Linked DNA regions of Caenorhabditis elegans. The main gene of each other region encodes a partner of the protein of the gene in region 2 in a complex. Each region holds a gene or a part of one and is shown on either strand. Other genes may lie near its edges. The genes, in order: eif-3.G, eif-3.H, eif-3.C and eif-3.E.

What was found.
Region 1: eif-3.H (region 2) and eif-3.G share a complex: the UniProt entries of both Caenorhabditis elegans proteins name them as parts of the eukaryotic translation initiation factor 3 (eIF-3) complex.
Region 3: eif-3.H (region 2) and eif-3.C share a complex: the UniProt entries of both Caenorhabditis elegans proteins name them as parts of the eukaryotic translation initiation factor 3 (eIF-3) complex.
Region 4: eif-3.H (region 2) and eif-3.E share a complex: the UniProt entries of both Caenorhabditis elegans proteins name them as parts of the eukaryotic translation initiation factor 3 (eIF-3) complex.

Annotation. Positions count from the first base shown.
Region 1 is NC_003280.10:8,439,876-8,446,743, reverse strand, and holds eif-3.G (Eukaryotic translation initiation factor 3 subunit G), read right to left. Parts: upstream 3,978-6,868; 5' UTR 3,961-3,977; coding exon 3,944-3,960; intron 3,898-3,943; coding exon 3,845-3,897; intron 3,724-3,844; coding exon 3,644-3,723; intron 3,563-3,643; coding exon 3,180-3,562; intron 3,092-3,179; coding exon 2,836-3,091; 3' UTR 2,569-2,835; downstream 1-2,568. Other genes in the region: cut-3 (Cuticlin-3), read left to right, coding at 1-34, 259-484, 607-1,219, 1,265-1,474; evl-20 (ADP-ribosylation factor-like protein 2), read right to left, coding at 1,639-1,773, 1,968-2,098, 2,149-2,437; lips-10 (LIPaSe related), read right to left, coding at 4,743-4,935, 5,134-5,423, 6,028-6,208. UniProt on the Caenorhabditis elegans protein: RNA-binding component of the eukaryotic translation initiation factor 3 (eIF-3) complex, which is involved in protein synthesis of a specialized repertoire of mRNAs and, together with other initiation factors, stimulates binding of mRNA and methionyl-tRNAi to the 40S ribosome.
Region 2 is NC_003279.8:4,441,650-4,449,324, forward strand, and holds eif-3.H (Eukaryotic translation initiation factor 3 subunit H), read left to right. Parts: upstream 1-3,069; 5' UTR 3,070-3,080; coding exon 3,081-3,197; intron 3,198-3,242; coding exon 3,243-3,365; intron 3,366-3,411; coding exon 3,412-3,607; intron 3,608-3,654; coding exon 3,655-3,754; intron 3,755-3,803; coding exon 3,804-4,098; intron 4,099-4,340; coding exon 4,341-4,607; 3' UTR 4,608-4,964; downstream 4,965-7,675. Other genes in the region: C41D11.3 (Cysteine/serine-rich nuclear protein N-terminal domain-containing protein), read right to left, coding at 20-113, 163-278, 956-1,202, 1,895-2,368, 2,418-2,507, 2,637-2,693; cps-6 (Endonuclease G, mitochondrial), read right to left, coding at 5,013-5,364, 5,620-5,774, 5,831-5,953, 6,463-6,639, 6,686-6,805; TM2 domain-containing protein C41D11.9, read right to left, coding at 7,079-7,345, 7,415-7,664. UniProt on the Caenorhabditis elegans protein: Component of the eukaryotic translation initiation factor 3 (eIF-3) complex, which is involved in protein synthesis of a specialized repertoire of mRNAs and, together with other initiation factors, stimulates binding of mRNA and methionyl-tRNAi to the 40S ribosome.
Region 3 is NC_003279.8:9,974,903-9,983,639, reverse strand, and holds eif-3.C (Eukaryotic translation initiation factor 3 subunit C), read left to right. Parts: upstream 1-3,977; 5' UTR 3,978-3,979; coding exon 3,980-4,080; intron 4,081-4,128; coding exon 4,129-4,362; intron 4,363-4,443; coding exon 4,444-5,329; intron 5,330-5,375; coding exon 5,376-6,493; intron 6,494-6,544; coding exon 6,545-6,902; 3' UTR 6,903-7,214; downstream 7,215-8,737. Other genes in the region: Beta-catenin homolog sys-1, read left to right, coding at 432-744, 794-901, 957-1,034, 1,080-1,615, 1,672-1,897, 2,129-2,455, 2,507-3,011, 3,064-3,146; T23D8.3 (Protein LTV1 homolog), read left to right, coding at 7,354-7,536, 7,868-8,308. UniProt on the Caenorhabditis elegans protein: Component of the eukaryotic translation initiation factor 3 (eIF-3) complex, which is involved in protein synthesis of a specialized repertoire of mRNAs and, together with other initiation factors, stimulates binding of mRNA and methionyl-tRNAi to the 40S ribosome.
Region 4 is NC_003279.8:10,638,376-10,645,648, reverse strand, and holds eif-3.E (Eukaryotic translation initiation factor 3 subunit E), read left to right. Parts: upstream 1-3,367; 5' UTR 3,368-3,373; coding exon 3,374-3,463; intron 3,464-3,531; coding exon 3,532-3,807; intron 3,808-3,853; coding exon 3,854-4,330; intron 4,331-4,385; coding exon 4,386-4,841; 3' UTR 4,842-5,126; downstream 5,127-7,273. Other genes in the region: tag-344 (Protein kinase domain-containing protein), read right to left, coding at 77-320, 367-677, 725-1,047, 1,095-1,199, 1,245-1,365; B0511.17 (DUF4283 domain-containing protein), read right to left, coding at 1,944-2,070, 2,505-2,620; cdc-26 (Anaphase-promoting complex subunit CDC26), read left to right, coding at 5,422-5,626, 5,672-5,730, 5,898-6,150, 6,195-6,262; mrps-30 (Mitochondrial Ribosomal Protein, Small), read left to right, coding at 6,693-7,253. UniProt on the Caenorhabditis elegans protein: Component of the eukaryotic translation initiation factor 3 (eIF-3) complex, which is involved in protein synthesis of a specialized repertoire of mRNAs and, together with other initiation factors, stimulates binding of mRNA and methionyl-tRNAi to the 40S ribosome.

The DNA.
Region 1 (6,868 bases), on a different chromosome or scaffold from region 2:
CCAGAGGTCGAATGTGGACCAACATCTATCACAGGTATCTTGATGCTTTTGATTTGTTTATTATTAGGATAGTCATATTACGTTTTCGTCTTTTTTTTGATGTTTTGATTAAACTTTATAAAGTGTGCCGAAGTCATTTTTTACTACTCTAAAAGTTTTCTTCATCATTTTTATTATCTCAACTTTATTGTCTTCAGGAAAAGTTTGCAAAAAACCTGAATTTTTATATACTATTCTCCCACAAAATCATGTTTTCAGTAAACTTCAACACACGTAATGCCTTCGAGGGACACGTCTACGTTAAGGGACTTTTCGATCAACAAGAATGTAGAAATGACGAAGGAGGTCGTCAAGTCGCTGGAATCGAACTTCCATTCGATACTTGCAACGTTGCTCGTACCAGATCTCTGAATCCAAAGGGAGTCTTCGTTACCACAACTGTCGTCGTCTCTTTCCATCCCCAATTTGTCACCAAGGTTGATCGGTAAGACTATGAAACTTCTGTAATTTTTAAGGAATGCTTCTTGAAGGTTTAGGATACCGAAATTATAAAGCTTGATATCAACTAGAAGCTTCTCGTTAAAAAAATGCAAATTGAATTTCCAGTGCCTACCGTGTTCAATGCTTCTACATGGAAGCCGACAAGACAGTCTCTACCCAAATTGAAGTCTCTGATCTTACCACCGCTTTCCAAACCCAGGTTGTTCCAATGCCAATCTGTAAATACGAGATTCTTAACGGAGGACCAACTGGAGAACCAGTTCAATTCGCAACTATTGGACAACAAGTCTATCACAAATGGACCTGTGATTCTGAAACCGTTGATACTTTCTGCGCTGTCGTTCACTCTTGCACTGTTGATGATGGAAATGGTGATACCGTGCAAATTTTGGATGAGAACGGTTGTGCTCTTGATAAGTTCTTGCTCAACAATTTGGAATATCCAACTGATTTGATGGCTGGACAAGAGGCTCACGTCTACAAATACGCTGATCGTTCTCAACTTTTCTATCAATGCCAGATTTCCATTACTGTTAAGGAACCAAATGAGGAGTGTGCTCGCCCAACGTGCTCTGAGCCACAAGGATTTGGAGCAGTTAAGCAAGCTAACCAAACTGCTCAGTTCTTCAGAGTTTTGAAGAAGAGATCCGCTCCAGTAATGGAGAATATTCTTGATGTCCGTGCTGAGCTCACAACTTTGGAAGTTTTGGAAGGAAATGTAAGTTGTCAAAATGGTGTTCATTTGCTCATTCATTGTTTTCAGCTCCCATCTTCTCTCACACAAGCTCAAGCTCTCGTAGCTTCGAGAGAAATCGGAGAAGATTCATTCCGACAAGAATTGTGTATCAGCTCTTTCCATATCTCCGTTGTCACTGTCTTCCTTGGTCTTACCGTTTTCGTGGCTATTTTCATCACTTATATGATCGTATCCCGTATGATGGTGCCATCCGACAAGATGCAATCAGCTTGTTAAATCTCCAACCATGTCAACCGAAATCTCGGTGTGCAATTTTCTTATATAATTTATTGAAGCCCTTATTATTTTGTTTTTCAATGAAAAATAAATTAAAATCTATAATTTTTATATATTTACAAGCAGTGTGAAATGAGATCAAAGCAGTTTGATTGATAACAATTTTAATCAAGTATGAATAATCGACTTCCAACATCATCGCATAACCATGTCATTGCTTGGACCAGTCGATCACCAGAAAGTGCACAGCAACTAAAGATCTTCCAGTGATGGGATTTGATGGAATGGAGATCGAGTACCTAGAAAATTCTTAATAGGTTGAGTAGTTTCAAGGTTCCTATGTTTCCGTGCCTCTTTAAAGATTTTCTTCATTTTCAAAATGTATGTTACGAGAGTAACATGTGAATAATGAATCTAATATAAATATCTACATGTTAAGGCTTACAAGAAAGCATTTCTTTTCGGAAGTATATACTGAAGACATCTGAATTACCTGTGCTATTGAATTCACATCAATGGCCCCTGGCAGATCACTTTTGTTGGCAAGAACTAGAAGAGAAGCACCGGCTAATCGTTCTTCTCCGAGCAATTTTTTGAGTTCTTCGGAGCATTGTAGAAGACGCTCTGAAAAAAGTTTTTATAAATTTGAATGTATCCTAAATATTTGTTTCTACCTCTATCTGACGAATCTACCACCCAAATTAAAGCATCTGTGGATTCGAAATAATTCTTCCAATAAGATCTTAGACTTTTCTGTCCGCCAACATCCCATAAGTTTAGTTGAAAATCTTTGAAATGCACGGTTTTGATATCAAATCCTAATGTTGGTTCAATTGTATCAGTCGGCTCGTCGAGGAATTTTTTCATTAAAGTAGTCTTTCCAGCGTTGTCTAATCCAAGAATTAATATTCTCATCTCGCGTTCCCGAGCACGTTGCTTACGGAGAATCTTCAAGAAGCCCATCTGGAATTTTTGAGTTATAAAATGTTCTATTGCGTTTGAAAATTTTTAGCCATCAGATTTTTATTCAAACTATGATATTTTACATTGGACAGAAACCCAACTCGATTGGAAAAATAGAACGAAAAAATAACCAGGAAGAGATAGATTTATCATTGAAGAAAGAAAAGGAAATACCAACAATTTTCATAGCTAGAACTGCCTTCGTGAAAATAAACTTCACTTGCCAACTCTGATAACCATAGAAAGTAAAAATTATGATTTCAATAGGAAAGAACAACAAACATCGAATTGGTCTACAGTAATTTTCAGTTTAGACAGACACTAGCTACGAAATTATGAAGAACCAAACAGCGGGAAAACATCCAAGTACGCATAACATAAATAAATCAGAAAACGGATTAGTTGCTCGGACGTGTCCATTCGACTTTGAGAACCATATGGTACATTCGGATATCATTGAGTTCTGCAATTGCACGGGCGGCGTCATCTCTTGATTCAAATGTAACGAAGGCGAATCCTTTCGGGAGACCAGTGACTTTGTCACGGGCAATGAAGATTCGGATGACTCTTCCAATCTTTCCGAACAAATCACGAAGTTCGTCTTCGTTCATCTCTTGCGGAAGATTGGTGACACGGCATGTATTCTCATCGGATCTGAAAGTATGTTTTAAAAATAGTTCATAAATTATTCAATCATCAAGATTTTTTGGGCAACTTAGATTACAGTATTTTGAATGCTTACCGATTTCTATCGATTTGTCTTCCATCAGGACGCATTCCCATTGCCATTCTATCCTTTTCAGTATCCTTGTCAGCATCAGCTTCCTCGTCCAATTGGTACATGACCTTGTAAGGACAATGAGTACTCCAATGGTCGTTTCCTTTGCAATGACGGCAATGCTCACGGCTTGTAGTTTTAGCAGTCTGTTTGTCTTCTTGAACGTCAAGAATCTGCTCTCCTGCGCGATTTCTTGTGAATTGCATATCGACTTCTTCAGCCACGTAAGTTGTGGCAACTTGGGGTCCTGCTGGCTCTCCCTTACAACTTCCGAATTTCACCCATTTTTTGCGATCAGCGACGACTTTTGGTACACGTTTGTTGATAACTTTGAACTGTGTCACAACCTGAAATTTGGAATTGAAAGAATTCTAGAGCATAACTCGAGAATTCTGTAAGGCGAATTTTTTGGCCATCGGATAACAAACCTTCCATCTTACTCCATCAACCTCAGTGAAAGCTGTTTCGGTACGTGTTCCATCAGCTCCTTCCTGGATGTGTGGGGCGTCTGCAAAAGCGTTCATCAGTTCATACAGAAATGACTCGTTTTGTTAGGCGGTTGCACTCCAAATGCGAAAACCGTGAAAGTTCACGTAAATATTCTTGAAGACGAGAAATGAAAAACTTACTGTCTTGCTCAACGGCCTCAGCCCAGCTTACAACTTCTGGAGCGGGAGCCATTCTGAAACTTTCTTTACGTAAATAATTATTCGAGGGTGAAAACTCACGCGTTAATGCCAGTCATAGCTGTAACTTTACTACCTGAAAAACTATTGATTATGTTTTTAGCAATATAAAATAAGAAAAAATTTCAAATAAATGGTTTAACAAACTTCAGAATTAAAAAGAAACAGCTCTTCAAAACATGTAGATTTTAAAGTATTTGATTTTTTTTTCCAGAATAAGCGAATATTCAACTAGATTCATAGTTTTTAGCAAATATCTATAAAAACAAACTATAAATATGTAAAAAAAATATTCTACAACAAAAACACGGCTGGAAATCTTTTAAAAATGTAGAAATATCCCGAAAATCGAAAATTTGGGAAACAACGACGCATTGGGAAATCTGTGCATTTGCGCGTGGGATCATGTGTTTGCAGAATTGCGCACCGTATTGCCCAAAAGCCAAATGGCGCCGCCGCTCCGGTTTTCACAGATTATTCAGTCTCATCGGAAGAGATTTCTGAAGAAAATAATAAATATCTTCGTTTTCGGAGAAAATCACAACATTGTATCATGTGTCTAGATTGATCTGCGAAATATAGCAGTTTCCTATCTCTATTCTTATGAGAATTCTTACAAGTCGCCTGATGGACTTGATCACTTGGACGAATTTAACATTCTGATCATTTTCGTTCAAAATACCAATTTAATCAACGATTGTACTGATTTATTAAACTTTTGAACAATATACACACAAAGTTTTGAATGAAAGCAACGAGTTCGAATCAATATAAACAAGGAAATTAAAGAGATCACAAGTGAAATTTGATGTCAATTAGTATTTTTGGTGAGATTTTGTTTTTATGAGGTTTGAAGAGCCCTCCATTGATCTTCTGTAGTTCCACCAATAACTGCTCCATGCATTAGTCTAGTTTTGACGATTGAAGTGGCTCCTTCTAATGGTGAGGACATCTCTCCACACGTATTTCTGAGTCCAATAACTTCGTCAGCTACGGAATAAATGGCGAACATGTTCTTTCCGTATTGGAACGGCCTGAAAAAAATGTTGACTTGTAAAATCATGAAATTAATGTTTATGTGTACAGAAAACAACGTAATTAAATTTAAGTATGCCCTAGTATACCCAAAAAATGAAAAGCCTTGCTGGCTTAGTGGCTAAAAGTTTTGCCTTTCACGCACACCTGCATGAGTTCAATTCCCTGTGCTGGGATACTTTTTTTGCGAAACTTACTGTGAGTTGATCTCTTGTAAGAACTTGGAACGGCAATCCAAACCATGTGTTAAACTACAGATTCCATTCACAAATGGCTGCTTGGCGCACATAATAGCTCCGTGATTTGCTCCACCAACAGAAACATAATTATGAATTAGATGATTAATTGGGCGTCCCAAATTGACTCCACTATCAACACAGTGTCCTCCAAGAATAGCTTTTCTGGTAATTGGAGATCCCATGGAGCAAGCAATGATGTTTACTGGTTTCTGAGTGTATTCATGAACAGCAAGAATGAGAGTGCGAACCTGAAATTTTAGAGTTACAGTTTGGATTGCAATATTCCTTTCGTTGATTGTAATCCCTATTTCACCTATAGATTCCCCTTCATCTTTTCTTTTAGAATATCCTTCTCAATCCGGATCCCTTCCGAAAGATGTCTACCCAACCAGTCATTATAAATCTGTGTTTTGTGTAGTTTGTAAACAATCCCTTCTTTTTTCGGGTCACGTCCTTTTTCCGTTTCAACGTCACTCCGGCCGTTATCAATCGGGTCTTGAAAGATCACCGATCATCCCTTTGTTCTCTATTTATCTATATTAACAGACGAGATCAAACCCAGAAGTTATAGAAATTCCCCCACAAGGCCAGTCTAACTGTGACCATCACAAACTACACATTCACTACACCAGTGGCGCCGCGTCAGAACGGAGACATGATATGGCGAGGTTTTCTCATTGTAAAGATTAGATTTAATGATGATGATGTTGGTGATGATGACAATAGTTACACTACACTTGATCTTAGCTTTTGCAAGTGTTCCTCTTGTAGTTTTCAGAGTCTAAATTAAATTCCCAAATCAAAATGATTTCTCATGTCTATTATATAATCCCATCATTTCTTTACACCTACCTTCAACACATAATCGCATTGCATTCCGTGTTGCAATGAGTCCATCAGCTTTCCTCTTGCATATGTTGTTGCGAATACAGTTCCCTTTGGTTGCCCATACGAATAGTATTTGTTCAATAAACTTTTCTTTGATAATCCAGCGTATCCAGCCAACCCGTGAATTACCACAATTGGAAGACCCCTAAAAGAAACACTTTTTATGAACGGGTGTGTGAAAATACTTGTTCCATCTTGTTTGCGTTTGTTTCGGATCAGGATACGATCAGAAATCGGGATTTGTGACGTCACACACAATGATACGAACACAAACCACCATACATATTTGTGTCGGAATCGTCTTGACCATCAAGTCATGACTGATTCAGTGTGAGAACAAAATGTAATTGGAGGCTACACTTATAGAGGTCAAGTGACACTGCACGGTTTTCTCGTCATCTATGTGTAGCAATCTTTCGATCACTACAACTGTTTTTTTTCGTGTTTTTTTCAAAAAATAAAATCATGACATCATTCTGATTTGAAAGGTGTGATCTGGTTGACATCAGATCATTGGTTATCTGAAGCCGGTCACTAGAACATTGTTCGTCTAGTTCTGATAATAGGTTGCAACAAAATGTCGTAGATCTATCTGTTTAATATTTTAGTTGACTTAGTTTTTGTGACAAATTATTTCAAGTTATTACACACCTAAATTCCAGTCTTGGAATATACGAAATTCAAAAAAGTCTTCTTTGAAAGAAATTGAAATATATATTTGTCGAATTGCAATTGTAAATTCATGAATTTTTAATTTTGAAAATGTCAACGGTAAATTCGCAAAATCATGAGACCTCGCTGTCAA
Region 2 (7,675 bases):
TATTTAAAAAATTTCAAACCTCCTTCAGTTGCACTGTAATAAGTTTCACCAGACGTTGACCGGGCCACTAACGCCGGAGGAGCTGGAAGAACAGTCGATGACGTGGATTTTAACTGAAATTTTTTTTTTTGCAATTTTTTGAATTTTTGTAGTAAACTCTACCAATTGACGACTTCCAGTTCCATAAGTTTGAGCGATTCGTTCAGTGACAGCCCTTGGATTAAATATCGTTGATTTGAACTTCCGCATCGGGGTTGACATTGTGGGAGTTGGTACTGCTGAAATTTTAAGAGTTATAGAGAATGTATATTTAAATTTAAAATTTTTTTGTGAAAATTTTGAAAAAAAGAAAACCTTATTTTCAATATAGTGATGCAATTTTAAAACAAATTTCCGAAAATAATTGTTTCTCGCATGAATAAGTTAATATTTAGCTGTCACTTCGCATTATTTTGGTACTTTTTGGTTATTTCTGTGAAGTTGCAAAGTATGGATTTTATTTTAAATATTTTAAAAGATGTGACAGGGAAACGTTTTTTTCTTAATTATTTAAAAAAAAACGGAATATTTTTTCTGCAATTTTTTTTAAACATGCATGTCTAATATTTTTTCTAAAAATAAAAACCATCGTTTGCCAGATTTTCATATTCTGTTTCGCATAAAAAATTCAATAAATTGTAAAATATCGAATTTTTTTCAGAGTTTTAGGAAATTTATTCCAGATTATCGAGTTTCTTTCGGAAAAAATTGTGAAAATTTGACAAATTGTGTGTTAAGAAAACATAAAGAAAAAAAGAACAATAAAAATAGCCGGAAAACGCAAAAATTTCAGCTCTTTTCATTTTTTTTTCTTGAAAAATCTAAAAAATTCTATAGGTATATTGAGGCTATTTTCTATTATTCAGGATTTTTAAAACATATTTATGTTTATTTTTTTTCAGGCTTTCATAAAAACCTTTTTCAATTTCCTTTTCCTCTTCGAGCCGAATCGAAAACGACGAGATATATCGTTTTTTGAGGGGACTTGTCGAACGATTTTCCGAATCTTGACGAACTCGTTTTTTGATTGGCGAAGTTATTGGCTTTTTCGTAGGTGATTTTGGAACGAACACGTCATCATCGATGGTACGGGTCTCAGAAATGCCACGTGGACGTAAACGTTGTGGAGTTAAAATTGGTGGCATGTCGGATGAAAAGAGACACTGAAATAATATTTTTTGTTATTTTCAGAAACTAGTTTTATATGATTGGGCGGCAAACGATTTTTTCCGGCAAATCGGCAAATCGCCGGAATTGAAATTTCCGGCATTTCGGCAAACTGTGCTGTTGCACTTTTTATTGGAAACTTCAGAATTTCAAGTTAAAGACGCGAAATTGTACGCCTCCTATTACGGGAACACAAAATTCTGATGATGCGTATTTCACAACATATTTGACGCGCAAAATATCTCGTAGCGAAAACTACAGTAATTATCTAAATGACTACTGTAGGTCGATTTAAGGGCTCGATTCTCGAAATGAATTAAAATTATTTATTCATCGATAGATATTTCCAAAATCAAGCCCGTAAATCGACACAAGCGCTACAGGAGTAATTTGATGAATTACTGTAGTTTTCGCTACGAGATATTTTGCGGGTCAAATATGTTGTGTAATACGCGTTCTCAGTATTTTGTGTTCCCGTAATATAAAAAAATATGTTCCTACTTCTATTTTGAAAAGTAAGGAAATTCTATGAAAATATCTAGAAAAACGGGAAAACATTTCAGATTGCCGGAATTGAAATTTCCGGCGAATCGGCATTTGCCGAAAAATCAAATTTTCGGAAATTCGCCGAATTTTTCGAAAAAAAATTTGCCGCCCAGCTCTGATATGATTCAGTTGAATATATTACCGTTAATGAAGATGTTCTCTTCCTCTTTAACACAGGAGTTAAGCTATTTCCAATTTCCATTCGTATTGGAACATCAAGGGACTGGGCCTCTAATCGTGGCATTGACCCGGATCTTCGGTATCTTTTAACTGGAGAACCAGGTGTTTCCACATCTTCTTCTTGCCTTCGAATCCTTTCAGGCGTCTGTCTCAACAGCATTGATCCACTACTAGATCGACGCATTGGCGGTGTTACTTGATCTTCCAGGCTTGGAATACTCTCCGGAGCCAGTTTTCGGATCGGTGTCTGGTGGTCCTGTTCTATCCGCAATGGAACCATTGGCTTTTTCTCCATTTTTATGGGTAATGCACTAGTCTTTGTTCGAGTTAGACTAGGTACACCGGCTCTTTTGAGACTCGCTGCTACAGAAACCATCGATGTTGAATGGGATAGGAAGGATGAGGACGATGATGGTGGTGGGATTGTTCTCTGAGACTATTATGAATATTATTAAACAAAAATGCTGGAAACTTGAGGGTTTTACCTCCAAAGAAATTGAAAAAGTCGATTTCAATTGGCTCATTCCCGCCATTCGTTTTAATCCTCCACGTGGACTTGGTGGAACCAATGGTGTCTGAAACAAATTTACAATTATTTTTTAATATGCATTTGGTTATAATATTAAATCTTCAAATGGATTCCAATAAAGCTAGTTTATTTAAGAATTGTGTTTTATTGATTTTTTTTTCATAAATGCGCTTACCTTTATTATTTCATTATTTGTAGGTTTATTAGGGTCGTTGGATGCACTCGATTGCATCTGAAAATATACAATTTCTCTTAAAAAGTTTCAAAAAGCATTTTAAAAAGTAAATCCCAAAAACAAAAGAACGACAAAAATTTGAATTCAAATCAAAAGATCACGCGCGGGTACGGTGTGCAATTGTGTGCATGCACTACAATTGACGCGCAGTTGCACACAACAACGGAAGGAATTAATTTCGTGGAGTGTTTCCTATTTTCAAGATTTTATTGATTATTTTGAGGTTTTTCTCGCCAATTTTCTGAAATTTATATTTTTAATTTTCTTTCGAAAAATTCGTGATGCTTAGATTATTGATTTTTCCTCTTGTGAGATGCATGTTATTGTTTATTGTTCTTTAGAAAATTTGAAAAACTAAATGCTCATCTTTCAGGGTTATCAAAAATGTCGACAGCAGTGACAATTACCGCTCCGAGCGTCAAGCATATCCTTTTGGATTCGCTTGTGGTTATGAAAATTGTGAAGCACGTGGACAGTGAACTTCATGCAGGAATTAGTGAGGTATATTATTTTAATTTAATTTCAAGCTTAACATGTAATTTACAGGTATCTGGAGACGCTTGTGCCGGAGTTCTCACCGGTCTTGTTTTCCTTGAAGATTCTCGCTTGGAAATCACCAATTGCTTCCCAACAGTTCGCAACGAGCCAGTTATGGATGACGATGCTAATGTAAAATTAGCTCATGCTAGTGATTCCAATATATTTTCTATTATAGGCCGCTCAACAATACGAAGAGCAAAAGCAACACGAGATGCTTGACATGCTCCGCAAATTCCGTACAATGAATATCGATTACGAAATCGTTGGATTCTATCAGTCTCATCAATTCGGAGCCGGTTTCTCACACGATCTCGTAGAATCTATGTTCGATTACCAGGCTATGGGCCCAGAAAATGTTGTTCTTATTTATGGTTAGACAGATTAATGAGGATAAATAATTAATTCTAATTGCTTTCAGATCCAATCAAGACTCGCCAAGGACAGCTTTCTCTAAGAGCCTGGCGTCTTTCCACCGCTGCTCTTGATCTCGCTTCAAAGAATGACTGGAGACCAGAATTGTATGGTTTTTGAGTTTAAAAATATATTTGCAAAGACATATCTTTTCAGGGTGAAAGCCGCTGGTTTGACATACCAGAACATGTTCGAGGAGTTGCCAATCATCATCAAATCCTCATATCTCAACAATGTTCTCATGTCTGAGCTTTCACTCGCTAAATCATGCTCTTCTGACAAGTACTCCACGAGACACTTCGATTTGGGATCCAAGAAGTCGCTTGAAAAGTCGGTCCGAGCTATGATGGCTAATGTTGATGAGCTGAACAAGTCAATTCAGTCGTTGACGAAGTACACTATTGACAAGCAAAGACATGATAATATGGTGTTCAGTCTGACGCAGAAAAGAGTAAGAATTTCGAATTTTGAAATTAAAAATATCCTGATTGTATCGCTAAAATTTATATTCCGAAGTGTAACGGCTTTCAAACCTAAAGTCTTGTTTTTTGAAAACCATTTTCCAACATATCGAGGCTCCACTAACTATAAAACCGGATGTGAGGGGTACATTTTCGGTGGAATAAAGGTGCCATTCACGATTTTCGAAAAAAAAATCTCTATCATTAAAAATTTATATTTTTCCAATTTCAGCAACAGGAGAACGAATCACGTGTGGCCCGTGGTGATCCAACAATTCCAATGGATGACATCAAGAGAATCAAGGCTCCACAACTCCAAACAAGAAATGGACTTTTGGATGAGCTTCTCGCCAGTTTTGACACCAACGCTCTCGCTGACTTCTCGAAGACTGTGACCAGCGAAAATATCACGAAAATGTTCATCGCTGAAGCTGTTGCTGAGGAGAAAGTCGCCGGAACAAAAGACAGAACTTTGAGCTCTGTCTCATCGACTCGTTAAGATTCCCAAATATACTCGTGTTTTTGTTTCCTCCCTGTTCCCTTTAATTTACTTTTTCTTTTCTAAAATATTTTTCTCTCGGTGAAAGGAATTTCATATTACATAAAACTAGTGACATAAAATAATGTCTCACTTTCAATATAGGGATATTGTTTTTCATCCAAATTTTTTTGCCGTATGAAATTCCTTTCTGGTATCCTTTTCCACCTTCCCCTATTTCGGATGAATTTTTGTTGTTGACTAATAGTAAGTTAAGATTTTAAAATTTCTATTGGTATTGTTCTTTTTAATTGAGTTTTCAAGTTTTTTCAATCAGTAAATCAAAAAAGTTAACAAAAAATTTATTTGTGAAACAAAAACAAAACAACCTAAACCTAAAATTCACCGGAATCACAATCCAATCAATCACCAAAGTAATCCTCCCTTCTTTGCTCCGTTCTCTTTCACAATGCTCTTAGGGTCCAAACGAGCGAAAATCTCAAGACCCGCACTTCTCTCCACAGCATCCAATGGAACATGGAACTTGGAAATTTCTACAGTATCCTCGATGACTGCGTTTGGCAAAATATAGGATTCCAGCTCGAATTTGCCGGGTGTCACTTCGAAAAGAGCAACTTTGAAGAAATGAGTTGGCACTGCAACGTTATTATCACCGATAACTTGATACTTGATATACTTTTTTCCATCTCCTTCAAGTTTTGGAAGGTAGAGGGGACCGGTGATTATGTAGGAGTTGATCATCTTTTTTGCGACTCTTCTGGAAATTGTAGAAAATTATTTTTAGTATTGTAAAGAAAAATCTTGGTACCAGCTGGTTTCAGACTGGGCTGTAGATTTTTCGTTTTTTTTTCTCAAAAAAATTTTCCAAAAGTTTCAAATTGTATTAATTTTTCAAAAAACAAAATTCTTTAGAGTTACGTGTTTTTGCGAAAAACTTCGTCGACGAGAAAAAAAATTATTTCACATTTTTCGCGTTTTTTTCCCGGCAAAAAACTTTATTTATTTTACCAACCTGCAGTGCATTTCCAAATCATTCCACTTATCGCGATTGAATCCTCGTCCAACTTGTGGGCTCATATTGCTCAAATAAAAAGTTTGATCGACCGCCAACTGACTCTTCCGATGATTTCCAGCGGCGGCGAGATGTCCACGATCGAATCCACTGCACTGAAACATTGGATGGTTCAGAAATATTTTTTATGTAATAATTACGAAGAACTAACCTTATAATCCGTATTTTGAGAAAGGAATTTCTGCGGGAAAGTGATATCTGGCTTGAATTCACAAAGCTTCCGATCCACACCTTCTGCGTGTTTTAATCGTTCTGGTGTAAGATGTTCGCAGACCTGGAAATTCAATTTTTTATTAAAACCGGTCTCGACACGACAATTTTTTAATGTAGAAAGGTGTGCACCTTTAAATAGTACGGTAGGTTCAAAGTTTCGTTGTTGTGGAATATTCATTGATTTTTATAGTTTTTTTTCACGATTGTTAAAATTAATGTGTTTTTTTAAATAAATAAATATTTTTTAAAATAAAATACTAAAAATAAAAATTATGATAGTTTGAAATGACAGTACTTTTTAAAGGCGCACACCCATTTGTTTTATACAAAAACAAAAGGCATGTCGAGACCAAAGCTGCCTTTGTTTTTGGAAAAAAAAAATTTTTGGTTTTTTCGGGACAAAAAACCAAAAAATAAATTACAACACTGATTCAGCAAAAATGAAACAAATTTTTTTTTGGTGGAAGATTTATTTTTGCAGTAGCCCTGCTGGGTACCGTATTTTTGGCGCTAAAACTTGGCGTCCGGTATAGATTTTTGAAATATATTTTCTCATAATTTTCTACTAACCCAGTGTGCAGTTCTTGTCTTATAATCGTAGGAAAGCACGAAATCCTCATAAGTTCGAACATTTGTGAATCCGGGATATCCGTGCTTCATGATCTCTGCCGAACGAGATGGTCCCATTGCATCAGCATTTAGAGATGCTGGTTTTACGGTCATTGGCTCCGAAACTTGGATTTGATTCTGCAAAAGCGGCATTTTTCAGGATTCTAGAAGATTTTTATTAAACCATTGGAACATTGGTGGCTGATTGAACATTCCTGAAGATTGGCAGATCGTCATTCGAATATTTTCCAGCGAGGAAAGATATTCCAGCGATTGCCGCGGTTCCAGCCACCTTGCCGATCATATTTCGGCTGGAAATTAAAATTGGAAAATTTGGAAAAGAAAAATAGAAAAACTGAAAATTCATGTAAAAAAGATATTTTTGAGTAATAATCTACTTCATATTCAAACAGTTTACAATCGAATTTTGTAGAAATATTTATTACTTTTAATGGAAAAATGGCAATTTCAAAAAGACGAAAATAAGGAGAATAACAAGAGTATCAGAAATCACCCGAAGCTTAAGCTTATTACAGGAAGTATTTACACAAATTGGAAAAGAAAATTAAAAAAAAAATCAAATATACATGGATCCATCGTAAGGTTTAATGTATCCAACTGCGATCAGAACAACGTCCACAAGAGTCCACACACCAAGACCACCGAAACTGAAAAGTTTTCCAATTGCAGATTTCCAGAGTCCCAAGTAGAAACGATCAGCTCCAAAACCGCCGAGCACAACTGAGAGAATCATTGTTTTTGTCCAACTGTATCCAGATGACCAGTTACATGGAATTCGCTTGTAGAAATTACGTTGTCCCATACATATTACTGAGCTGTGAGCCTGAAAATTCAATTTTTTTTTGAAAATTAGGTATTTTAAAACAGATATTAAATTAAAGAAATTGCTCACCGAGCACTTTGTCACGAGAAGCTTTGTACTACTCGTGGAGCAATTTGTCGCTGGCTCGCAATCATAATCCCCAGGTAGAAGTTGCCAACAAAACCGACACACCGCTTCGACATTATTTCTGCTGACAGGATTCGGGCAACCTTTCCGTGAAGTACAATTCACTTTTACAGTGTCTCCGATTCGGCAATCACCGGGAAATGTGCACGTAAGGCCTGCAGATCCATCACAATTCTTGGATTTAACGTCTTTTCTGAAAAAAAA
Region 3 (8,737 bases), 5.5 Mb from region 2:
GCTTTTTGCGTTTTCCCCGTGAGTGGACGATTAAAAGGCGGGGCCTAAATATTAGGTTTTCTGCAGTACACGCCACGCAGTTTTATTATTTTGAGTGTAGGTTCTCATCTGTTTCTTTAAATTTGCACCTTTGAGGATTACTGTATTTTCGAACTTCCTTCGCTGCGGAATTTCATAGATTTTTCACACTTTTTTAATAAAATATATAATTATTCACTAAAAACCTAAAATAAAACAATAAAAACATATACATTCGTGAAAAAACCATGAAAAATCGATGGTAAATCTGCGTCAACGAACGTTTAAAATTACTGTACTCCTTAAAGGCGCACGCCTTTTTGCAACAAAAAATAACAACATTTTGCAGATTGGTTTTATAATTAATTTAATAAAATATGATATACCTAAAAACTTTCTATGTTTTATTTCAGGCAACTATACTCGTCACCGTCACCTTCACGAGGTCCAGCGGCTCCCGCACAGAATCAAAAATTTCGGACAGAACAATGGATCAACAATCAAGCATGGCCATATTCTCAATCTCCTGCTCCACCAGTTGCTCCATCAGTTATGTCATATCATCAAGGAGACGATCGAATGTCAATGCTCAGTGTGAATACAACCATGACAAATCAATTTCCCGATTCTCAGCGATGCTACTCATCAAATGGTTCAACATGTGAAAATGTGAATCCTGAAATGATGCAAATGAATATAACACAAGCGGCTGAACAAGCAATTAGGGTTTGTAATTGAAAAATCAATAATGAATCTTGATAAAGTTCAATTTCAGCTATGGTTTAATACACCAGATCCCATGCAAAGACTTCATATGGCAAAAACAATACGAACTTGGATACGACAAGATAAATTTGCACAAGTTGATCAGGCAAATATGCCGGTGAGTTTTCCAAAAATGTTGGAATTCTTTTTACAAAATCTGTAATTTTTTTCAGAACTGCGTACAACAAATCCTTAACATAATTTACGATGGTCTGAAACCTCAACCAGTTCAACTTCCAATTTCATATTATGTAAGTCTCAACACAAATTACAGATTTCAAATCATATTTTTTCAGGCTCAACTCTGGTATAATCTGTTGGATATTCTTCGAAGATTCACATTTCTACCCATTATTTCACCATATATTCATCAAGTTGTTCAAATGTTTTGTCCTCGAGAGAATGGTCCACAAGATTTTCGAGAATTGATTTGCAATTTGATTTCGTTAAATTGGCAAAAAGATCCTCACATGAAACACTGCGCAAATCAGGTGTTTCAAATTTTCAACTGTATCATAATGGGAGTGAAAAACGAGAAATTGAGAACAGAATTCGCTCAACATTTGAAATTCGAAAAACTCGTTGGCACTCTCTCCGAGTACTTTAATCCTCAAGTACACCCGGGAATGATAAATCCAGCAATTTTCATCATTTTTCGATTTATTATTAGCAAGGATACTCGATTGAAAGATTACTTCATATGGAACAATAATCCACATGATCAACCTCCTCCGCCAACAGGATTAATTATAAAATTGAATGCTGTAATGATCGGATCGTATCGATTGATTGCAGGCCAAAATCCTGAAACATTACCTCAAAATCCAGAATTGTAAGTTTAAAAATGAAAAATTCCTCCATCACTAACAAGTTATATTAATTTTCCAGAGCTCATCTTATCCAAGTTATAATCCGAACATTTGATCTTCTGGGTCTTCTCCTTCATGATTCCGATGCAATTGATGGATTCGTACGGTCTGATGGAGTTGGAGCAATTACTACTGTAGTACAGTATCCAAACAATGATTTGATAAGAGCTGGATGTAAGCTCTTACTTCAGGTCTCTGATGCAAAAGCCTTGGCGAAGACTCCATTGGAGAATATATTACCATTCGTAAGTTTTACGTTTAGAAAATCACTGGACTATTAGAAAATTATTTATGTGTTCTTTTACTTTAAAAAATTATACTAGATGCCCCAAACCTATCTAATTCCATAGTGATACTTCACTTTTGTAAGAAGTTTCATTATTAAATTCGGTCGTTTCAGGCTAGTTTTAGTCTATTCAAATTAAAAAAAAACTTCTCTCCCTTCAAATAAACTGTTTAAAACCGGAAATTTTCAGTTACTGAGACTCATCGAAATTCATCCGGATGATGAAGTTATCTATAGTGGAACAGGATTTCTGAGTAACGTAGTGGCTCATAAACAACACGTAAAAGATATTGCTATACGATCCAATGCAATTTTCCTACTTCACACGATAATCTCAAAGTATCCACGACTAGATGAACTTACCGATGCTCCGAAAAGAAATCGAGTTTGTGAAATTATTTGCAATTGTCTGCGTACATTGAACAATTTCCTGATGATGTGGATTCCAACGCCCAATGGAGAAACGAAAACGGCTGGACCGAATGAAAAGCAGCAGGTCTGCAAATTCATCGAAATTGTACGTTTTGGAATTTGAAAAACGATATAAAAATGAATTAAATTATTTCAGGATATTCTGAAAAAACTGATGAGTTGTTTATCATGTGAAGGAATGGATACACCTGGTTTATTGGAACTTCGAAGTACAATTCTCCGATCTTTTATACTGTTACTCCGAACACCATTTGTTCCAAAAGACGGTGTTCTGAATGTTATTGATGAAAATCGGAAGGAAAATTTAATAGGACACATTTGTGCCGCCTATTCATGGGTTTTTCGTCAACCGAACAATACAAGAACTCAATCCACAAAGCAGCAACTTGTTGAACGTACCATAAGTTTATTGCTTGTGCTCATGGAGCAATGTGGAGCTGAAAAAGAGGTGGCACAGTACTCGTATTCAATTGATTGCCCATTAAATCTGCTGAACGGAAATCAAGTGAAACCAACGTTTATTCACAATGTGCTTGTTGTATGTGACAAGATTTTGGAGCACTGCCCGACGCGTGCGGATATTTGGACGATTGACAGGCCGATGTTGGAAGGACTGACGAATCATAGAAATTCAGATATAGGTATGTGTCTCGAAAATGTGTTCATAAATTAAATTACAATGCATTTTTTCAGCTAAAGCCGCGAATTCTCTGCTGAGTCGCTTCCCTGAAAACGACCTTCTTGCTGGTATTTTTTCAAATCGAGAATATTTCTGATTTAATGGATAAATCTGTCAACTCCATCTTTCATCCCAAAAATCCCCGTTCAAAGCCATTAATTCGTCTAGTTGGAAGCTGTTTTAGCGTGTACATAGTCGTATTATTGATTAAAATATGTTCTCTCTTCTTTTCTTCATTTTCTACCGGTCCCAAATTTCCTCATTCTTGACGATTTCATATGAATTCGAGTTTAGAACAAACAAAACGTTCCGATTTTCCTAATTTATAGCACATTTCTTCTCATTTTGCCCTCGGTTTATCTCTTTCTTTTTGTTGTTTCTTTGTTTACGTCTGTAGCATAATATTTTTGAATACAAAACATTTTCGCGATTATCTTTGCATTTTAACTATCAAATTCCTGTCTTATATACGTCTTTCTTCGATGTTCTTACGTTGAATAGAAAATAAAATTATAAAACTTTTTAAATGTTGGATTGATTTACTGAATACTCGGTTCATATATAAGTTATTTAGAGACTATTCTCGTTCTGTAAAATTAACCTGAAATTGTGGAATTGTGATTAAATAATAAATTATTATTTAAATCTCCGCGCAAATGCCCACTGGCGCAAGTGGCGAGTGCTGACGCATCTCCCGTGCACGCGAAACGCGCCAGTAAGGTCTTGCAACGATTTTCTTATGTTCCACTTCCACTTAAATTTATTTCAGCTAAATATTGACCCATTAGCTGTTTTTTGAATTGTTTTCAAAGGGAAAATCGTTTTATTCATTTTAAATTTTAAATAATATTGGAATTTCTGTCTAATTGTGTATCTACTGCTTGTTTGCTTCTTGTTTTGGGATTTCATAATGTCAATTTTGTTTCAGCAATGTCTCGCTTCTTCCATGCTAAGGAGGACTCTGATTCCGACACTTCGTCCAGCGAGGATGAGGTAGAGGATCAAAAAGTGAACAAAAGCGCGAAATTTCGGTAATTATAATCTCCAAAGTAATTCCAAAAGATTGATTAATCTTTCAGCGATGATCTCGATTTCATGGCCGGTCCTGAAGAAGATGAGAAGCGTGTTGTTCGTGCCCAAAAGGACAAAAAATTCGATGAGCTGAAAGGAATTATCAAGCAAAATCGAGATGCAAAGAGCAACAAAGATCTGAACAGACTTCTAACAGGTTTTGATTCTCTGGCCAAAGCTTATGATAAGTCCAAGACGGTCTTTCAACGTCAGAATGTCGCAAATCCAAGATTTTACATAAGGTGAGATATATTTTTAATTTACAGTCACATCATAAAATAAAATGCTAATGAAAACTTAGTAGTTGATATAAAATATTTCAGGTCTCTTGTGGAAATCGAAGACTACGTAAATAAATTATGGGATGATAAAGATGCTAAATCTGCTCTTTCGAAGAACAACGCAAAAGCTCTTCCACCTCTTCGTCAAAAACTGAAAAAATACATCAAGGATCAACAACTGCAAGATCTTGTTACCGATTATCGCGTTAATCCTGACGAGGATGGATATGAAACTCCAGAAGATGAAGACGACGATGATTTTGGAGAGGTTTCTGAATCGAAGGCTGAAAAGTCACCTGGAAAACCATCTGAGAAAGCTGCAGTGAGCGATAGTGACAGTGACAGCGACGATGACGACTCCTCTAACTGGTCTTCTGAACCAGAATCCAATTCTTCTGATGACGAAGACAGTGTGACTAAGATGGAGCAACTTCGTAGGTATTTCTTGAAAAAAGAATTCCGCGTGGAGAGCAAAGATGACAAGAAAGAAAAGAAGAAGAGAGTTATCAGAGTCAAAGAAGCTGTCGAGGAAGACGATGATGCGGATTGGACTCCAGTTAATCGTGAGAAGTCTGTTGTTCACTTTGATCCCAAGGAAGAAGTTACTCATGACGTTATGATTAAGAAACTCAATGAGGTTATGTCGGCTCGTGGAAAACGAACGACAGATCGTAATCAACATGTTGCTAATCTTCGAAAACTTTTGGAGGTATCGGAAGAGAAAGAACTTGGTCTAGGAATCAACGTTAAAATCAGTTTCTGCATAATCTCGGCTCTTTTCGAATTGAACGCTAAAATTAGTGATCACATGGAGTACGAAACATTCATGACCACTCTGCAAACCGTCAACAGCTTGCTCGATCTTCTCATCGGAACTGATCGTGTAAAGTTATCTGTGACATATGCTGAAGAAGATGAAAATCTGAAGGTAATACTTGCATTCCTAAAATTAATAAAAATCCTAATATTTGCAGGATGACACTCAAGAGTATCGCATTCAAGGAAGTATTCTGATTGCTGTGCAAAGATTGGACGGAGAGTTGGCTAAAATTCTTCAAAACGCCGATTGTCATTCCAATGATTATATCGAGAAGTTGAAGGCCGAGAAGGATATGTGCTCACTCATTGAAAAGGCCGAGAAGTACGTTGAACTTCGTAACGATTCTGGCATTTTCGATAAACACGAAGTTTGCAAAGTGTACATGATGCGCATCGAGCATGCCTACTACAAATATCAAGATCAAAATGAGGAGGATGCTGGAAAGTTGATGGATTACTTGTGTAATAAGATCTATACACTTGATGATGAGAAACGATTGAGACAACGTGCTATGCTCTGCCATGTTTACTATCTGGCTGTTCATGACAAGTGGCACCGCGCCAGAGATCTTCTTCTTATGAGTCACATGCAAGCTATCGTTGATCATTCTGATGTCGACACTCAAATCCTCTACAACAGAACTATCTGCCAACTCGGTCTCTGCGCTTTCCGACACGGTTTCATTCGCGAAGCTCATCAAGGACTATCTGAAATTCAAAATACCCAACGTGCCAAGGAGTTGCTTGCTCAAGCTGTTGGAACTCGTCAGCACGAAAAGACTGCTGAACAAGAGAAGATTGATCGTTCCCGTCAAGTTCCATATCATATGCACATCAATGTTGAACTTATGGAGTGTGTCTATCTGATCTGTTCGATGCTTCTCGAAATTCCACACATGGCTAGTTGCGAATTCGAAATGCGTCGTCGTATGCTCAGCAGAAGTTTCCATTACCAATTGAAGCAAAGCGAGAAAGCTTCTCTCACTGGACCACCAGAGAATACCCGTGAACATGTTGTCGCCGCATCGAAAGCAATGTTGAATGGAGATTGGAAAAAGTGTCAAGACTATATCGTCAATGACAAGATGAACCAGAAGGTCTGGAATCTTTTCCATAACGCTGAGACTGTTAAGGGAATGGTTGTGAGACGTATTCAAGAGGAATCTCTCAGAACTTATTTGCTCACATACTCTACAGTTTATGCCACTGTTTCGCTCAAGAAGCTTGCGGATTTGTTCGAACTTTCAAAGAAAGATGTTCATAGCATCATCAGGTATTTGTAATATTTTACTAGACAGTACATAATTTTTTTTTATTTTTTCAGTAAAATGATCATCCAAGAGGAACTTTCGGCTACACTTGACGAGCCCACCGACTGTCTCATCATGCACCGTGTTGAACCTTCCAGACTTCAAATGCTTGCTCTCAACTTGTCTGACAAACTTCAAACTCTTGCCGAAAACAATGAACAAATTCTGGAGCCGCGCACTGGACGTGGTGGTTATCAAGGTCCAGGATCGTGGTTTCCAGGAAGGAACGAGCGGCAAGGAGATAAGCAGAAAGGATCTGGTGGATACCAAGGAGAACGACGTGGAGGACAAGGACAAGACGGAAAGCGAGGAAATTGGGGATCTCAAGGTGGTCAGCAACGTCGTCATCCTCAAAAGCCACGAGCCTTCTAAATATCCATTTTTCAATCGTCTCTCCCATTCGTGGAACCCGCTAATACGCCTTTCATGGCGCCTGCAATTAGTCTCAAAAACTTTTTGCAGGCGCCAATACTTGTTGAATCTTTTATTTAATTGATCAGTTTTTTTGGTAATCCCCCACCCTTTCCCACTTTTCCTTGTTCAGTGTGAGATCTGAACTTTAAAGCTCTCATTTTTCGTTTCCGGTTAGTAGTGTTTAAGTTATACTCTTTCCATACTGTTTTGTTTTTGCTAATTATTTATATTGGGTTGCCGGATATTATTTTAATGAAATATTTAATTTGATTCGTCCAATTTTAAGTAATTTTTTATGAGCCCCGGTTCTGTCCAATCAGTTATTTTCTCAGATCCAACAATAAAAGTAACAAAAAATTAACATAGAATTCATATTTCAGGTTACTGGAAACATAAATTTCGCCTCAAAATGGGTAAAAGGAAGGCATTCATTGATAAGAAAGCCAGTCAAAGTTTTCGATTGGTTCCGGATAATAGGGAAAGAAGTGAACGATTCAAGCCAACTCAAGAACATTTGGAGGAACAGCAAAAGTATGGAGTCTACTACGACGATGATTATGATTATTTGCAGCACATGCGAGCTGTTAATGAGGTTTGTCATCTTAAAATCAATTTGATCAAATACCGAAACTTAAAAAAAAGTGTTTGTTTTTCGATTTTTCAATGAAATCAAAAGATTTTAGGATATGTCAAAAAATAGCTTAAAATTTTGGTCTTTGTACTTCTTTTAAGTAAAAAATTTCTATGTTTTTTTAATCAGCATTTTTTACATTATTTCATAAAATTGAATTTTATGGATGATTAAAAAAAAGTTTTCCATATTACGGAAAATCAAAAAAAAAACAATTTTTCGATCACCTCTTTTAGAACATAATCGAAAAACAATCTTCTTGTATTGGTAAAATAATCATTTAAATTTTCAGCCGATGAAGCTGGAAAATGTTCATGAAGAAGTCGAGAAAACGACCATCAAAACGAGTGGTTCATCAGCATTCCCACCAGCTCCACCACTTTTCGGACTTGTCGGTGCTCTTAAGAAACCGGAATTTTTTGACGAAGATGTTGCAAATGCGTTGGAAGAGGTGACAGATGATCGTAACACCGGAGAACTTGAAGATAATTTTATCACACTTGCTGGTGGTCTTCTTGATGAAAGAACTACAGTTTATAGAAGTACAAGACGAGGTGAAGATTCGGAAGAAGAAGAGGATGACGATGAAGACGATGAGATGTATGATGATTATAATGATGACGAGTTATTTGGAGAAGAGGCTGTTGGAGAGATTAGAGTTGAAAGAGCTGATCAAAGAGTTATTGATAATGCTTTTGAAGAACTCATGGATCGTGAATACAACACCGATCAGGTATTATTTCAGAATTATTGGCTTGAAAAATATGATAATTAAACTTATTTAAAAATCGAACAGTTTTCGAAAAATGCCATAAATTTTCGCCATTTTTCCTCTCTTTAGAATGAAAGGATATGTTTTTAATTTTTTCTCTTTACCATAAGAAAGACTTGATTTAAAAAAAAATGATTTTTTGACTAGATTTTTTTTAAAAAATTGTTCTTAGATTTTTTGGTTTTCCGGAAAATCAAAAAAAAACTTTTAAAAAAATCAAATTTTTCGCTTATCGGCTTTTCATAGAAAACGAAAAAATTTAGATTTCCAGTAAAATCGAAAATTGAAAATTGAAAATTTTTTAATTTTTAAAAATTAAAAAATCGAAAATTATCGTTTTTTAGTTTTTTTTTCGGAAAATTCTTTAAGTTTTGGCAAGTTTTCCTCTTT
Region 4 (7,273 bases), 6.2 Mb from region 2:
CAAACTACAATCTTGTTTTAAAAGAATAAATCTACTAAAATGCTTTATTCACTGTCACAATAAGTTCACATGCCGTTCATCCTTGCTGTCTCTTGACTTCTTTCGGTTTTCCTGAGACAGGAACAATCGGAGTTGCAGGTGACACAATTCGAGTTGCCAATACTTTTGGTGGCTCATTGGGTTTCATGTAGTACGGTTGAGTACGGAGCCATTCAGATTCACAAATTGCTTTGTAGGTCGGACGGTTCGGTGCATGTGGCTGGAGAATCTCAAGGACCAGAGCCTTCGAAAAGACCGATGATGTGCAACTTTTCGGGAATCTGAAATGAGAAATTTAACTTGAGTTGTCTTTTAAAAAAAAACTACTTAATTTTATGTGCCAACTGTCTCTCGATCATTTTCCTTGGGTCACGATCATCAAATGGCATTGATCCAGCCAGCATTATGTAGAGAATGACCCCAGTACTCCATACGTCAACTGCATTTCCAGAATATTCTCTGCCACGAAAAATTTCTGGAGCCACATATGCTCGCGATCCACAGAATGTTCCAGATTTTTCACCCGGTTTCAGAATTCTCGAGAATCCGAAGTCGCCGAGCTTCACATTTCCATGTTTATCCATAAAGATATTTTCGCATTTGAGATCCCGATGCACAATGTTATAGGATTGCAGATGCTGAATTTATAAATTTAAGAAAAACAGTTTTCTGATATAAAACTTACAGTAAGTGCTGCAATAAGTTGACGAAATGTGAACTTTGCATCTTCCTCTTTCATTGCCACGATATCCTTCATTTTACGGAGCAAATCTCCTCCAGCACAGTACTCATTGACGAAGATGATGTGATCTTGAAATGAAATCATCTCGTACAAACGACAAATATTATCGTGTTTCAAGAGCTTGACAATCTCTTTTTCACGTGGCAAAAACTTTTTGATGTAGTCCTCTTTTTCACGAGTTGGCGTAATGTTGATGATTTTCGCTGCAACTTCGAGCTTTTTCTCTCCGAAAGTTGCGCGTGCCACACGGGAATAGGAGCCACTACCTGTAAATTAATGAATTATAAATTGGAATTAATTTCCAAATGATTACCGAGAACTTTCTCAAATTTGAGCTTCCAGACCTTCTCGAGTGTTGGAGCAAAAGCTTTCGTTTTTGGACTCAGTTCATCAGGTTCTTCTTGGTTCTCAGAAACATCTGAAAATTAGTTATTTTCTCTGAAAATCTGCATAAAATTCTTACCTGTATTGTTTTCCGTTGCCATTTCAACAATTTGCCAGAGAAATATGAATTCAAAATACTGCGAAATTGGTCGATTTTGGTTCGATGAATATTGATTAATAGATTTTTCTTCTCGATTCATCAGTTCATCAAGACATTTTCACGTTTCACGAAAGGTCACTTTTTTTTCGATTTTTCCTTGATTTCTCCGTAAATTTTCTTTGTTGAAAATGTTTAATTAACATTTTATCGGGAAATAAAAATGTTCGCTACTAACTATTTGCTTTCTGGCGCCTGTTACACACCTCATAACATGCCTAATTCCTATAATCTGGATTCGATAATATTATAGGTTTCTTTAAAATGAAGTCTTTGAAAAAGCATGGATTAGAATGAAAATATAAATAATATGATAATTTGAGAGTAATTGAATAACATATACATTTATAAAACAGAGGGTAAAATGGAGTAGTGCTAGTGGGGGACATTTTTAAAAATTCGAAAAGACCCAAATATCAAAATATAACATTCCAACTTGAAAAAAAAACTGTTTGCACCCAAAAAGTTAAGATTTGGCAGCTGGAAATCTACCAAAACAGTTTTGAACAAATTTTAGCGGTTATTTGAAAATTGAGATCTAAAAATTGTTTGCCTTTTTTATTTTGATATCTTGGTCAATTTCAGTGTATTCTGACATAACAGCAACTGGCTTAAATTGAATTAATAGTTATCGTTTTTCCATACAACAAAATCAAGGCATTCTTCGATAAAATTGACGGTTGCAATTTGTCCATCGTCGCTCTCAATATCCCATCCAAGTGTACAATCCAATTCGTCTATTTTGTATCTGAATGTTATTATTTTTCAAATAAAATAATTTAGCTTTTTTCCTTTAATCTCTACAGTAGATAGGTAGCAAGAATTTCTTCAATTAGTATGGCACCCCATCGTTCACGGTTGAGAGCTTATATCTCGGTTGTTTTCAAAAATAATTAACTGATGAAATATTTGGTAGTTCTTTTTATATCGTTTTGTAGTTAATAGTTTTATGATATCTTTGAAATGAACCGAGATATAACCTTTCAAAGTAAAGTAGTCTGTTGAACTAATAGAGGAAATACGGTATGTCAAGATCTTTAGAAACAATATGTGTAACCAAGACCCACAAGTCAAACTATATAGTCAGGTTTTGTTTCAACTGGGTGGCACACTACCCTCAAGAATCAGGGCTCTTCATGTAGCCCACTCGCCAGCTCTACGACAAATAATTTATATTCTCACTTGAACACTTTTGGTCTTCGCTTTCCATTCCACGGTCTGTGAATAATTCGATGCATTACTCCTTCATAGTTTTGAGGTCCATATGAATTGAATCGTATTCTTCGTAGATTCGGCATTCCTCCTGACATCAAATACCCGAATTTAATGTTGATCAAACCGAAATGGGGCAACCTGACACCACATGAATTTACGGTCTCGTCTGTTCCCAAAAATTAATAATAAAGCATTCTAAATTTTACTGTTCGCTTTTCTGTGCATTTCAAAATTTGAAATTTCATAAAACTTGTGTCTCTGACACATCGGTAAAATTTGGCACACTATTATTGAGATCGTTGCGGGACCCACTCGAAAAATTAATATGTGATTTTAAACTGACATTTCACAATTACAATATTTAAGCATTGCTTTAAAGCCACACAATGTTTTTCGGGGTGGGTCTCGATACGGGCTCGGGTCTTAATATCTTGTAACTCTTCCTAATCCCAGGAACATTATGATTCGTTCGTAATTTCTCAATTTGAATATTTTAAATTAAAAAACTTTTAACTGAAATTTTAGAACCAAAAAACTCCGAAATATTTTTCAAATGTCGCAAATTGCAGTTTTCGGTTATTCTTCTCGTAGTTCTACTTCTCGCAGTTCTCATTTCGCTGGTGGCTCGTGTTGGCAGGCAGTAGCAACGACACTCCGATATTCCATAGCGCGCGTTGTTTATCATTTCCTCCTTTCCCGGCGAATTTCTCCTAATTTCTCGATTTTCTTTCTGCAATTTCATTGTTTTTGTTTTATTTATGTTTTCCGTTAAGAAAATTGATTGGAGTTTTATTAGAACATATTACTATACTAATACGCTTATTTTACAGGTAAAAATGTCGACATTCGACCTGACTCAGCGCATGGCGCCTTTTCTCGATCTTCATTTGATCATTCCGCTCTTGGAGTTCATCGAACCACGAGGAGTAAGATTTAAACAATAAATTGTTGATTCTGAAATAGCTGAATTTATTTATATCAATGATAATTGCAGATTTACGATGAGAAATCCCTGACCGAAATGCACCGCCAGCTTTTGACCAAGACCAATATGATTGATAGTGTTATAGAGACCTACAATGGAAAACCTATTCCGGCTGCAATTGAGGCTAAGAAGAAGCAAATTATCAAGGAGAGAGATGAGCTGAAAAGCAAGGTGGACTCCGTTGTTGCCATTTTGGAAATACCGGAAGTCAAGGAAATGATGGATAACAACAGAGAAAGAGATGGAAATGTCCGTATTTTGGAGCATCTCACTCAAAACCACAATGTACGTTTTTGCTTTGCAGTTTCGAAAATAATCTTAATTCTTGCAGTTCACAGTAGACATGGTCGATACCCTCTTCAAGTACAGCAAGTTCATGTACGAATGCGGAAATTACACCGTCGCATCCGTGTGCCTTTACTACTACCGCAACCTTGTCAATCAAGCGGATCCAAACTATTTGAACGCTCTTTACGGAAAGTTGGCCAGTGAAATTCTGCTCCAAGAATGGGAACATGCTCGTGACGATTTGCTGAAACTTCGTGCTTACATCGATGCTAATCCATTCGACACGGAATGGGAACTTGTTACGCAACGTGCGTGGCTTATGCACTGGGCACTTTTCGTCTACTACAATTATCCAAAAGGGCGTGATGAGATTATCGAAATGTTCTTGAACCAGCAACCTTATTTGAATGCAATCCAAGTTTTGGCGCCACATTTGCTCCGCTATCTGGCTGTTGCCGTTGTTACCAGCAAAAGCCGCCAGAAGAACAGCTTGAAAGATTTGGTGAAGGTCATTGACATCGTGAGTTTAACTATTTTCTATATGAAAATATGATTAATTATTTGTTTTTCTACAGGAACGCCATAGTTACAAGGATCCCGTCACTGATTTCCTCACCTGTCTCTACATCAAATATGATTTCGACGAGGCTCAAGAGATGCTTCAAAAGTGCGAAGAGGTTCTCTCCAATGATTTCTTCCTGACTGCTGTCCTTGGAGATTTCCGCGAGTCTGCACGCCTTCTCATTTTCGAGATGTTCTGCCGCATTCATCAGTGCATTACCATAGAAATGCTAGCACGACGATTGAATATGAGCCAAGAGGAAGCTGAACGCTGGATTGTTGACTTGATCAGAACGTATCGTATCGAAGGAGCTAAAATTGACAGCAAGTTGGGACAAGTGGTGATGGGTGTCAAATCCGTCAGCATCCACGAGCAAGTCATGGAAAACACGAAGAGATTGACCCTCCGCGCTCAACAAATCGCCCTTCAATTGGAAAAAGGTCGTCAAGACAAAGTCAAGGCGACTTAGGCTTTACAAGTTCTTCCGGTTTTGAATGTTTTTTCCTTTTTCTTCATCTGATGCTGTTCTGAAAATTGAGATGTGGCAAACACGGAGATTAAGACTGTCATCTCTCAGTTTTCAGTATTATTTTTCTTTCTTATTTGTTCAGCTCCTCGGTTTTTTACGAGGACTACTCGAATTCTGTCTTTTCTAAACTTTCCTTATATCCCTGTTGTTTCTTTTTGTTGTCTCTGACCCTTCTTTCGTTAGTGCAGGGGCTGGAGGTTCGGTTCTAATTGGTTAAAATAATATATTTTCTCTTTTATCATGGTTTGATTATTGTTAGAATCTAGGTTTATGAAACCTTTCAATATATATTTATTGCCGTTGCCGAGAAATTGTTTGAAATTATTTTTTGTGAGGAAAAACACTTCCATCTGTATATTTTGTCATTTCTGTTGAATTTGCCTTACTTTTTCGCTAATTACAGAAATATTTAAGCCATAGGTTCGATTTTGCCGTTTAAAAATTAAATCTCCAAAAATACACATTTTCGCCAATTCACAGTTTTTATGAAATTAAATAATTTATCTCACTCTTTTTCAGTATGTCAATGTTACGGCGTCCATTAACACAATTAGAATTGTGTGAGGACGATATCCAATGGCTGACAGATCAACTGAACAAGAGGGTACTTCCAGCTGTGATCGTGCCAAAATGCGAAATGATGGATATTGACGAAATGGAGCCGATGGATCAGAGTGAGCCTCCACGTGGCATAACTAGGAGAAATCTCAGATCGGCGGATAGAAGTGAGATGATGATTTATTTAATTTTTCCTAACCTAGCTTTTTCAGAGAACAGAGACGTTCCAGGACCAAGTACGGGAGAGTGCACGCGTACTTCCATTGCACCGGTAATTTTTTTTTTTAAATTAAATGTTTTAAACATTACCTTTTAGAATCGATGTGAAATGTCATTCACTGAAGTGCAGGTGACATAATTTTGTGTTGTTGGTGTTTCGAACACTTATTTCTATTCACTTTTTCATATTTATCTTATGGCTATTCTCCGTATTTCCAGACTTTAACATCTGCTCGAACTCCTGTCGCTGCTCCAACTCTAACACTTTCGACGCCAGTCAACCCTGTCTCATCAGCTGAAATGTTGAGAGTTATGCCACCTCGTGTAGGTCGACGTCCACGAGCTTCTCGTTCTGGTGACAATGATTCGCCACTCCTCTTCAACGCTTATGATACACCACAGCAAGGAATCAATGACGAATCTCCAACACCCTCTGACTCTCCCGAATCTCCTAATGCTCATCTCTATGGTGGTCAATGAGTTGTTGGAGGAATATTGTCAATATTTTATTTTCAGCTACTCCCGGCAATCCTACTTCAACTTCTGGAGGACCTTCTTCAAATACACGATCTCACAGACACTAACAACTACTGGTCAGGGTTGTGTTTAGGCAAACGTGCAAAACCCGCTTATTTCAATATAATAATTCACTTTTTGATCTAAAATTGATTTAGAAACGTAGAAAAACTTTTAGAGGTCTTCTCAAGCTTTTCATTAAAAGTGAACCGTTTTATACATTTCTATATTTATCAATTTTTAATTTTTTAAAAACTTGGATTGTTATACTGAAATTCGCAGTTTTACACGCCCTGCTACTGATCTCCCTTTCAATTCCAACTTCCTCAGCGTGCTTTCTTCTTTTTTCGAACTAAATAAATTTGTACAATATTTGAAACAAATATTTCTGAAATGCTACATTTACTGTCATAGTCTGTGATTTTTCTATCTTTCTTTGTTTTTTGAAATTCCAATATTTCATTAATTCTTCACCAGCCCTGTTTCAGAAATTGCAAGATGCACGGGTTAAAACGAAGTCTGATGATCAGAACAGTCTGCCGTGGAAAGGCAACAACTGCAGGAGCAGATCTACCACAATCATCACAAGAAATCGAAGTTACCACCCCAAAATCAGAAAATGTTCCAGCCAAATCAGCGAACGCTTCAACTGTATATCGTCCGCCATACTATCGAAAGCCACATCAGCACCACGAGCCAAAGCATATGCTCCAAGAGGAATTTGTGAACGCTGGCGATGCATCTGGAGCAGGAGTTCGCGTTTTCGACTACTACAAGACTGCAGAAATGGTCCATTCAATGCCAACAATTAAAGAGAAAATTGATTTCGTCTCACCGTACGAGCGACCGTGGACCCGCGCAGAAAAGACATGGCGTAGAGATTGGCATCCAACGTTGATGGCAACACGCAAAGCTTGGGGAATTCCACCGACACCGGCACATTTTGATACTTTGGATTATTATAAATACCTTACAAAGACCAGAGTAGAAAATGAGTCACTTGATGATTTTTATCATGGATTAAGACCTCCGACAGCTGATTTGCAGACAAGTTTCCAAGTAAGAATATTTCATGAAAA